Linked DNA regions of Arabidopsis thaliana. The protein of the gene in region 1 interacts with the protein of each later gene in a pairwise test. Each region holds a gene or a part of one and is shown on either strand. Other genes may lie near its edges.

Region 1 (3,917 bases):
CACTTCGGAAATATTTTATCAAGATTCTTTGCAGTTCTTTCCTCTACATTTTGGATGACCTTGAATGGACTTGTGACCAAAAACAGAGGATGTGTTTTGTTTATTCTTAGTCATGGTTTCTCCATTACATCTAGAATTCCCATAAGTGCTTGTTTCATCTTGGGTTACAGGTGCTGGGAATTAGATGGTCATCAATCTTTTATGTTGAGAGTGTAGCAAGAGTGAAAAAGCTCTCATTAAGTGGATTGTTGCTTTACAAGTTGAGAATAGCTGATCAATTCTTTGTTCAATGGCCACAACTGCATAAGAAGTATCCTCGGGCTCACTATGTTGGGTGCCTGATGTAAGCTGATTGGAACTCTACTTACACCTAGATATATTACAAAAACTTAGAAAGCTACATAGTGTACACCTTCTCTTTATATGCAGGATTGAGTTTTAAACAATGAATTTTTGTAATCAGCTGTTTTGACTTTGTTAATGACTTAATGCTATTTCAGTGAGCTTATAATGTGATTTTGGTCATCTTATTCCAAACTAAACCAGAATCGTGCACAACATATATTTAAATAAAATATACTTCATGTTACAATGATGCACACATTTTCAGGCTGTGACTTCACTTGAGTCGCATCACAAATCTATTATGTTTATTTTTCATTGTAGGCTGCCTTCATACCAATAAAGAAAAGTAAGTTTACTTGATCAGCTCGCTTTAGTCTGTAAACTGTGTGTGCCACAATCTTTGAAGTAACAGCTTATTTTGATTGCTCACTTGACCCTTCTGCTTCTGGTCGGTCAGGGGATTCTGTTGTTGGTATTTCATTACTTTTCTTCAAGTTTGTTTCATCAAGATATTGTTGGTAGACATAGGATACGAAACCCCAAATAGCTAGAATCATAGAAATCACCTTTAAGCCGTTCATTTTGTCATGGAAAATGATGACAGCCAGGATAGGAACCACGGGGAGTCCCAAAGCGCTTATTGCATTTGAGAATAGGGAGGAAAGCTCGAAGATCAGTCCTGTGCAACCGATGGAGAATACCTGCCAGGTAACAGCTGTCCACACTAGGTTCATGACATAGGATACCTTCCCAAGTTTGTAGTTTTCCATTTCACTGCTCAAAGTTTTCCACTCGCTACTAGCAAAAAGCCCCACCACGCTAACACAACTGGCCACTAGACTCATGTAGATTATCATATTTATAACTTCTGAGAAAGTTTGCTTCTTTAAAACTTTACGAAAGGCTAGCTGTTGTAGGGATAAGAGTAGACCAAACCCAGCAGATGCACCAACGGTGCATACGAAACCTTTGACATACTCTCCTTTTGTAACTTTTTTGGAATCTGATTCCTCGTTATTAAATGCAAGGAGGGTGGAAGATATAGTGAGGAGGAAAAGAGAATTCAAAATGATAGGAGTAAGTTTTTGTGAGTTGAGTAAATAAGAGAAGAAAGCGGTGAAGGCTAACTGTGATGCACAGATCAGGGAAAGGGTAGAAACAGGTAGGTAAAGCAGTCCAATGGAATATAGGTAGCAAGCTGCTCCTACAAGAAGTCCAAGCACTATGTAAACTAATGCACGGTTCCTAAGTGAGGTTAATTTGCCATCTCTCTGAGTTGTTGTATGTGTTTTGACTGACAAGAGATGATATGGAAGTAGAATAGGAAAGCCTACAAGCTGAACTACCGTTGCTAGCCATTTGCTGTTTCCTCCATTTTCATAGTATAGTCTGCCCAGAATTGTAGCAACTGATTGGCCTGAAATGACAAAGAATGTATAGATAGCAACCCGGAGCCACCGTTTGTATGTATTAGAGTGAGATAGTTTTGTTTGGCTGCCACTGACCGAACTTCTTTCGTCTTGATCTGTTGGAATTGGTTCTTTTCCCTGCTGAACTGGTGAGTGATGGAAAATAACGCAAGAAATTAGATTATGACTTATTTGTTGTCACACATGAAAAATATTGATATATTGAATAATAAGATACCATAACCATATTTTTCGTCTTTTATTTGAAGATAAAAGACCAGTAGGTTCTCGAGGAACTGGTTTATGCTTACTCACCAATGACTTGTACTTCTTGATCCCCCTTCATAGTAGATGTGGAATCCCCCTCCTTCGAGATGGACAAGGAGGTACTAACAATGTTCTGAATAGATTCTAAGTATTAGGTATCTTATTATCAAATTGCTTGGTTACTAGTGCTACCAAGTGATTGCTTCTGTGATATGGGTGAGACACGCTGTAGCTATATATTTAGAGATTAGGAATCGGTCATCGTCTATGTTTTGATTGTACTTGTCCCCACATTCAGTAAATGCCAACTGTATATCTTCTCTTGCTGTGAATTTAATTTCTTTTGTCACTATTGTTGATCTAGAGATGAGTCGAGTCAAATCAAGAAGGAAATGATGTGTAGCCATTAGTCACTCAGTATTTTATACCTGTGTGACACATCAGCCATATGCATAGACACAAACTTAACACGCATGCACACAAGTTGTAAGATTGTATGACCGTCAGGATGTCTATTTTGAAAGTTATTCGTCTTCTTTAATTTCTTTGGCTTGTTCCGTCTGACTATCTTTCTCTTATGAGATCAGGCATGTGGATTAGAAACACATTTATGGAGATGATGTCTCGCTTCTCTTTTCAAAAGAAGACATTTGCACCACAATATTGGATGGCAGAGGAAGTCACTTTATTAACTGCTAAGATGGAGACTGCCAAATGGTATTATTTCTGGTCATTTACTTTTTGTACAAAGCTCTGTTTCACCAAGGATGTTTGGACCTGTCTGATTAATATTTCTTCTTTCTTCATTAGAAATGATTTTCTGTGTGTCCTTGTTTCACAATGTTTCAGGTAAAACTAGAAAGTGGAATAGTGCATTGAAATCTTTTTAAGTTATGGCTAAGGGTTAATTTTTATCAGGTGTCACACTCACAAAATTGACATGGTTTTTTATTAAATAAATATCTACTTTTATCAATCTGCCTACAGGTTCTTGTTACATACAGGGTTGAGTTACATTTAATCTTTAGCTGCTATGAACCCAAGTTTAAACGATGAACTTTTGTAATCAGCTGTTCTAAACTTAAGATTGTTGGTTCACTGAGATTACAATGTAATTTGGGTAATCGTAATTGAAACTAAACCAAAGTCATTCACTACTTATTTAAATGAAATCTACTTCCTGTTACAATGATGCAAAAAATTTCAAGCTGAGACTTTACATTAGTTGCATCAAAAATGTATTGTGTATTCTTCAATGTAGGATGCCTCCAGGCCGATAAGTAAAGTAAGTTTACTTAACTAGATTGATTGAGTCTGTAAACTGCGGGACAGCATCTTTCAAAATATCAGCTTATTTTGATTGCCAAGTTGACTCTTCTGCTTCTGGTGGGTCAGGGGATTCTGTTGTTGTGATTTCATGATTTTTCTTCAAGTTTTTGTCATCAAGATATTGTTGGTAGACATAGGAAGTGAAACCCCAAATAGCTAGGATCATAGAAATCACCTTTAACCCATTCATTTTGTCATGGAAAATGATTACAGCCAAGATAGGAACCACTGGGAGTCCCAAAACGCTTATTGCATTTGAGAATAGAGAGGAGAGCTCGAAGATCAGTCCTGTGCCACCGATGGAGAATACCTGCCAGGTAACAGCTGTCCACACTAGGTTCATAATGTAGGATACCTTCCCATGTTTGTAGTTATCCATTTCACTGCTCAAAGTTTTCCACTCACTGCTAGCAAAAAGCCCCACCACGCTAACACAACTGGCCACTAGACTCACGTAGATTATCATATCCATAACTTCTGAGAAATTTTGCTTCTTTAGGACTTTTAGAAAGGCTAGCTGTTGTAGGGATAAGACTAGACCATAACCAGCAGACGCAGCAACGGTGC
Region 2 (7,618 bases), on another chromosome or scaffold:
CCTTTTCTTCTGTGAAGTTTTACATTTTCTTTCGCCTCTGTAAAATGATATATAAGTAAAAAGATACTGAAAAAATAAGTAAAATAACTTGAGGAGATAGTGACATTCTTTATTAGAAAAGAAAGAAGACTTATTGAACATAGAACGCAAATCAAAATTTACATAAACCAATATATGAAATTAAAATTGTCTTCTTCGTTTTGCACTTTGGAGCGTTTAACAGTTGTAGAATCCATTAGTCTCCCATAATTAATATGTTTAAGGATAAATGGTTAGGCAATTTCGGGAGTTTCCCAAAGGTTTTTCTCCGATATGACTACATCGATGCAAAATCCGAAATGCTTCCTCTAAATACTTGAAACTTGGTTCGATCCTTAAACCCTCCAAATCTTTGTTTAACCGTCTGAGTCCCTGTCAAGGAACGGTAACGGTACGGTCTTCACTGCCCTAAATTGGCCGACATTGTTTAAGTGCTCATTCTCCACTCTGTAAATACCGAAAGAAAGATTCATGTTCAATAACATCCAAAATCAAGTTTTAATAAACCTAGGTGAAGTTTTTTTATTTACCTGTAAAAGTTCCAGTGGCCTCGACGAATGACTTCAAGTGACGCCAAGAAGAAATCTAGCAAATGAGACTGAACAGGACTGACCCTGAATCTCATAATTGTCTCGATCCAAGCAACTCGCAACACCAAATTCAACGCCTGAACAACTCAACATTTAGTCGAAGATCATAAATTGTGAAACACGCTATAGTTAGTTATGTAATTGGCTTACAATGGAGAGGTAGTAGAAGTTCTTGTTCCGGAGAACCAAATTGTCTCTTAGCCATGGATTTTTCGATTTAGGGTTTAGAAGACCCCAATCCTTGACAAAGTCCCAGTATAATTGGTAAATAGTTGCCACAACGGAGCTTACGAGCACCATTGTTAACCACAAGTCGTTGTTTTCTCTCGCGTAGGTTATGCGGACTCCGGCTGCAACCATCGCTGACACGTATTTTCCCATGTTGATTAGGTGATCAGGGTTTGATTCGTCCCACCATCTCCTTACACACTGTAAATTAATGTTCATAGTGTCTTAGAAGAAAGGTTTTAAGGGACTTGACAAAAAAAAAAAAAAAACAGAGAAACCCTAAGTGAGCTTACTTGCATGGCACGCCAGAAGTAGGGTAAGAAAGAAATCAAGTAAGCAAATTCTCTATAGTATCTTCCGTTTTTGCAGGTATTGTATTCGTGAGTTTTGAAGCTTTGAGCCAAGAAGTAACACCCGGTTGTCTCAAGGTGTCTCAGCAATGGAATCTGAATAGAACACGATTAATGGGTTAATTATCGACTAAATTAGATGTCGTCACCATCTATTGAAGTTGCATAACTTAGTTTTACCTGGCTAGTAAGTTGATCGCCCATGAAGAAATCAACCATCAAAACCTAAATTTACCGTACAAGAAAAAAAAATCATGTTTCTGCTATTTCTTGTGCTGAAAGTAACCAAATAACTCCAATTGTTACCTTGTAGAACGGTGAGCAAACAATCTTCCGCAAGATGCGGATGAAGCAGAACCTTGTTGGACGGTAGAATGTGTTAAATGGGCATATCAAGACGCATATGAAGATCTGTAGCATGCACACCGAAAAAGAAATTAGCGGTTTCAAATTGTGATTGTGATAGCGATTGCGATTGAAACGCGCCATATGATAATTAATGAACTAAGTAATTTGATTTACCAGGAGGAGGATGCCTGGAATGGTGTCTACTTGACTAGCTGAGAAACCGGAGGCTCGGAGGATGAGGTGGATGACCATAGCTGCCACAACTGAGGTCATGAACGTGGTTCCCATCAGAAACGCGTCTCGGTAACGCAACGCTGTGTTTGGTGCAAACTCAAAAATAAAGGTGTAGTTTATCCTCGTGTTCTTCCACATGTATAGATTGCATCCATACATGAACATGTGTAGACTCAGCAACGCAAAAACGCTGCGTTTTTAAAAAAAATCATCAAAATGTAAGCGATAAATGGTTAAGTCTCATTGGATGGTGACAGTTTTGTTGAATTGATCATTAATTCGTATAATTATTCATTACCTGAAAACAGGATAAACAGTCTCCAGATAAGAGACTTGATCACTAGAAGTGAAGATTCCAGAAAGATGGGCTAGTATTATGTAAATAACAAACAATGAGATGAAGCAACCCGTAAATAACCCTGCATAGATACACAATCTCAATTTGTTAAAACTCTGATGAACTGTTTTTTTGAATGGTATATAAAGGTATAAAGATAGAGAAAATGAAATAAGTACCAACAAAGAAAGTGACCATGTGAGAATCTTTGGTCTGGTGGGGTTTCAAGAATTTCATGGCCTTTTTCCTGTCATTGTTGGCGAAGTGCTTTGTGAATATGGACTCCACTTCGTCCATAAGTCTTACCACCTTTTTTAATTTTAATCAAACAATCATTTTCAAACAATCTTTCAATAAATTATTCATAGCATAAGACCTCCTTTTATTTTACCTTATCAGAGCTGATAAATTGCGATCTCTTTACGACTTTGAGATACGTTGATGATGCATTCTGACCAGCAACCTGATGATTCATATATATATCAAAGATTCATCATTAACCACTATGATTATCTTTTTCATTGGTTTATCACCGAAAGTACAATCTATAACCAATTTACCTTATCGAATTTCTTCATTATTTTTGTGAAAGCTATCATATTCAACGAGCTGCCATAATAAAGCCAACAAAAGAATTAAAAATGATAAGATCATCACTAAATAAATAAATGATATTGAGTCATTAATGAATATACCTGTAAGTCTTTAACAAGCCAAGACCTCTATAGAGTTCAACAAAGGCACTTCGTATCTTCTTCTCGGCGCTTTGAATATTTTTCCAGTTGGTGAAATCTGATCTTGGGTTGTTAACGAGCTCTTCCCAAAGAACAGACATGGCGGTGGCGATGGATCTTGCGATACCACCTTCGGCTCCGGCCACAGCGTCGGGAATGTCGACGCGGAGAGACATTTTTGGTTTGCCTCCTTTTGTTTTGCTCCTCGTTGCAGAGTTTATGAAACTCACACCGTTCCTCTCTAAGGCCTCTATGATTTCATCTGTTCTTGATGTTTCACTTTGTATCTCACTTAGTTCTCCTGGAGACCCTGAACAATAAGAAAAAATAAATTACAAATAATTATATATTTTGTGACTATTAACACAGGTCTAAAGAGAAGAAGAAAATAAAAATTTTTGTCGACCTAGCCATCTATTGTCGGTCCATTTTTATTTTCTTACTCACAAACATTTTGTTCGTTTGTTAGTAGAATCGATTTGTGTTCTTGTCGGCCATTGAAGATATGCATGTCTACATAATAAAATCTCAAAACTCTAAAATTCTTTCTTTCACATATATGCAGCTTCGAGTTTTGCATCCACATGCAAAAGATTTGTATGCTTAACAAATCTTGTCATTCAGTAGTAGAATTTCTATTGTGTTATAACAAAACATTTGAATTTTTACTTAAATTATTTCAAAAACGCTAAATTGTGCAATGATATAAAAATATTAAATAACCTACTTTTCTTTTTACTAGCCGCACTACGTAAACGGCCTCTAGGACATGCACTTTTGTGATTTCTAATGGGTGCAGGCCGCGTCATATCTCAAATATACTAATGGTTAGCTTTTAATAAGAGTCTTAACTCTTAAGTCAAAATGCAGAATTTACTAAAGTACCCTAAATCTGACCTAACTTGTAGTAAAAGCATTAATAAGAAGAAGACTAACCTGCAGAGAAATCAGAGTTTCGAACAGAAGATGAGAAGGAGCGATGTGAATTTGAGCCAGACAAGTTTCTCTTCTTCCGATCACTTAAGATCTGTTTGAGTTCTGCAAGAGTCTCCAACTGTTTCTTCAGAATCTCTCCTCTTTCCAAAAACTCTGTTTCTTTGGGCTTGTGAAACTGATTCACTTTGTTTAGTTCTTCATCCAATCTAGCGAAAAACACTTTAACCTAAAGTAACAATAACAAAAGCATTCAAATACAGATCAAACATTTATAAACTCTTAATGGAAGAAAAAAGTAGTCTAAATTTGACCATCTTCATTAGGATTTAGGATGTGGTCGTGTTGTGCAATTTAGGCTAGCAATAAAACCACTATCTCTATGTGCTATGTTATTTAATTTTCTGCTTTTGAAGCTTAAGAAAAAGGAATTCGTAATATAGTAATAGTGATGATGATATTAATAAAGTCAAATAAATGCACCAAATAATAGGTCCTTATTTCAAGCTTATACAGTATAAGCAAAAAGAGTATTAATATAGCTAGTTATATAGAATCCCAATAATAAATAAAATTTAAGTTTCAGCTTTTATAGAAAAATAATATAGGGATGTAATTATGTACCTCGTCTTCTTCGGAAAACAACTGAACAAGTTCAGTTTGGTAAATCTCATCGACGTCATCCCCAGTTTCTGAGCTACCTCTTCTTCTCCTTACCTGTTAATTCTCAAAAAAATAAAATAACATCATATTAAATTTCGTTTTATTATTTCAACAATTTCATTAAATTCAACAAACCATGTAAACATCATATTTATTTATTTTGATATTTTTCTTATACGTGTCATTGAATTGTATGTTTTCAGGGGGTGGTGACTTGTGAGTTTGTTATGTCTTTATATAATTTTTTCCGTCACGATGGTTTCGTGAGATATCACAATCTTCACAACCGTTTCCGCATCTTGGCTTTCGTGAGACTATGAAGAAAAACAAACCTTGTTTTGGAATTAGTGATACCAAAATCTAAGATGTAGAGTAATAGAGTGTAGTAAGTAAGCATTTATTTTCCGCAAAATTATATATTTTGCAGATTTCAGGGTTAGTTAATTTATAGGATTTTTCTTAATTTTGGAAAGCGGTAGGTTACTAGGTTAAGATATGAGCTATAGGGTCTAAATCATGTGTATAATGATTGTTTTCCTGAACAGAAATACTTAGATATGTATATATTACATATTTAATACACACACAAAAATTACCAACTTACTCTACAAGAATTAACATATTAGAACTCTACCAAATCATGTCAAATATGTAAAATTTACATATCTCGTTAATAAATATTTTGAAAAGCAAATCAATATTGTAAGAAAGTAGAAAAACAAGAAAAAGGCAGATTTCTCATGTAGTACTAGACAAAGCAGAAATAACTGGTAATTCTGACGCGTAAGCAATTACAAAGACGTAAGCATACACGAAACTCAATACAAAACAATCATGGGACCAAAAAAGACGCTAATTTAAATTAAGTTAACAACAAAATCACTACATTATCACAAATAATCTAAATTCTTTATCCGACAAACTCAAAAACATACGGTCTCACCAATTGTAATCTTTTAGTCCCTAATGGTATCATGTTCAAACTCCGTAAAATGCATTTAGACATAAAGAGCTAGGTTACAAAGTTACACGGAATTTTAGACTAATCATTCAAACCGACAAAAGAATCAAGCATGTTTTTCTTAAGACAAAACTAAAAGTAGTTGATTAATTACCTGGAGAATCTCTGGTTTTTCTGAGTTGGAAAATAGTTTATCGGAGAAGGTCCTGGCCAATTTGCGAACCGGGTCGAAAAGAGATCGACCAAAATCGGAGTGATGACCAATGGGGTAATGAGAAGCCGGTTTTGGTTTACGAGAGGTTTTGATTTTCTTGATTTGTTTCTTTAGTAAACAATAGTTAACAAAGGCCTCTTTCCACTCCGGTATAAGTTGTGCCTCTAGCTCCTTCGAGAACTTCACCATCGTCGCATATAATTTCTTCCGTTTTGATTAATTGCTAATAGTGACTTGGAAGAAATTATAATGTGAGGAAGGAGAAAGACAGAGAGAGAGGCTAATGTTACAAGAGGCATTAAGAGGGAAAGAAGAAAGTTTGTATATATAGAGAGAAAGACGTGTAGAGAAGGTGAATTTAGTTTCTTCTTTTTTTTTGGTCACTAACTATTTTAATGGAAATAAATGATTTTTAACACACATGGGAAGGTGAATTTAACTTTTTGATGCGATTTGTTATAAGTAAAGTAACTCAAATGGGAAAATGGAAACTTTTGTTTTTTTAATATTAAATTTCTTGGCCATTATGCTTAGCTTAATAACACTCACTTATATTGGTAGATTTGAATATAACGCACTCGTTAGTATTGGTGTGTGAGTAGTGCAACTCGTCACGAATCCCACACACAAACACACTTCTATTGCATTCAACAAGGATAATATTAAAATTTCTCTTGCAGACATTCTTTTCCAAAAATAGTATATTTTAAATCCATTTTACAAATAGGCTTTATATATACCATGATCCGTGATGTAATATTACGTGTGACTAGTAGTCCTTACAAAAAAAAAGTTTAACGCTTTGTAATTGTTATGTTAAGCGAGACCATATATATATATTTTTGTCAAGTTCGAGACCATATTTTTAGTTTCGGTATTATTGTATACATTTAATCACTAAAATTGTACCATATATATTTTTTATTTGCTCAAAAAATCTTTTTTTATTAAAGATTAATATGAGTTTCGATTGAATATATTCTTAACAAATATGAAAGTATTCCTATTACATTCAAAACCATACAGAAGTTTCGTAATAATTAATAACACTTTTTTGCGATTTCTTTAAAATTTTTTTTAATAAATTTCAATTTATAAAAGATAAACATCTTCACTTTTCCATCAAATATATGTTGTCAATCTATTTTTTGACAATAAAAACAACAGTTATAACTAAGTGAAGTTAAATATTTCTATAATTTGTAAATAAACTATTTAAAGTTTAATAAAAAATAAATTTAATTTAATTTAAATAGAAAATATATTTAATTTCAATAACTGATTTGAAAGCAAACTGTTTTCATCTGCTTACCCTATATATGGACAGTTTGCAAAGAAAAAAAGTGATGCAAACTGATATAGATTTGTATCAATTTCAATGAACTAATGATGTCAAATAAATAAATAACAGATTATTTTAATTATATATTTTGTATCATTAATTATCAGTAACTAATTCAAATTAATATCATGTTTCTGATACAATTTAATTGATGCAACATTTTGTTTTAGTGCAAATTGATGATTGATTTTTCTATTTTCACATGTTAGCGTCATATAGTTGTTAGTTCGTTACCAAAAGCATATCTATTCAATATGATATATAGAAATGACTAATATGACAACTCTGATGCAACTAGCGGAACTTATAGACAAGAAAAATGTTGGAGTCGGAGCTAAGAAGGCTGATGGAACTAAAGTCTAGAAGAACATATTCGTAGTGCTGGTTAGAACTCAAAATGTAAAAAAGGGGAGAAAATGTTTAAAAATGATTTTGAAAACAAGCAAGTAACAAGAACAAAAAACGTTTCAACGGTACTATCTTTCTGGTGGATATCTATTTTTCCAAAATATGTCAGAAATCGGTCAAAACTTTCCAAAGAAATTTGATCTGTCGGGAATTTAGTCGGGATTGGCTATATATACTTGGACAAAGAATCATCAAGATTTGGAGAAAAAAACAAAATGGAAAATATATTAGGAGTTT

Evidence for each region. The genes of interacting proteins can lie anywhere in the genome.
Region 2: the proteins of AT4G18220 (region 1) and PHO1 interact in a protein complementation assay, tested with the Arabidopsis thaliana proteins (one large-scale study listed by BioGRID).

Annotation. Positions count from the first base shown.
Region 1 is NC_003075.7:10,076,951-10,080,867, reverse strand, and holds AT4G18220 (Drug/metabolite transporter superfamily protein), read right to left. Parts: upstream 2,231-3,917; 5' UTR 2,141-2,230; coding exon of another isoform or gene 2,101-2,140; coding exon 2,070-2,100; coding exon of another isoform or gene 2,024-2,069; intron 1,901-2,023; coding exon 759-1,900; 3' UTR 506-758; downstream 1-505. Other genes in the region: AT4G18230 (UDP-N-acetylglucosamine transferase subunit ALG14-like protein), read left to right, coding at 171-347; PUP10 (purine permease 10), read right to left, coding at 3,373-3,917.
Region 2 is NC_003074.8:8,387,423-8,395,040, forward strand, and holds the start of PHO1 (phosphate 1), read right to left. Parts: upstream 6,046-7,618; 5' UTR 5,821-6,045; coding exon 5,572-5,820; intron 4,511-5,571; coding exon 4,418-4,510; intron 4,023-4,417; coding exon 3,797-4,022; intron 3,171-3,796; coding exon 2,822-3,170; intron 2,736-2,821; coding exon 2,687-2,735; intron 2,590-2,686; coding exon 2,518-2,589; intron 2,436-2,517; coding exon 2,306-2,435; intron 2,209-2,305; coding exon 2,088-2,208; intron 1,980-2,087; coding exon 1,730-1,979; intron 1,619-1,729; coding exon 1,514-1,618; intron 1,433-1,513; coding exon 1,388-1,432; intron 1,304-1,387; coding exon 1,151-1,303; intron 1,059-1,150; coding exon 780-1,058; intron 707-779; coding exon 570-706; intron 487-569; coding exon 396-486; 3' UTR 1-395. UniProt on the Arabidopsis thaliana protein: Inositol polyphosphate sensor that associates with transcription factors to regulate inorganic phosphate (Pi) starvation responses. Probably acts by binding inositol polyphosphate via its SPX domain. Acts as a Pi exporter, mediating efflux of Pi out of cells.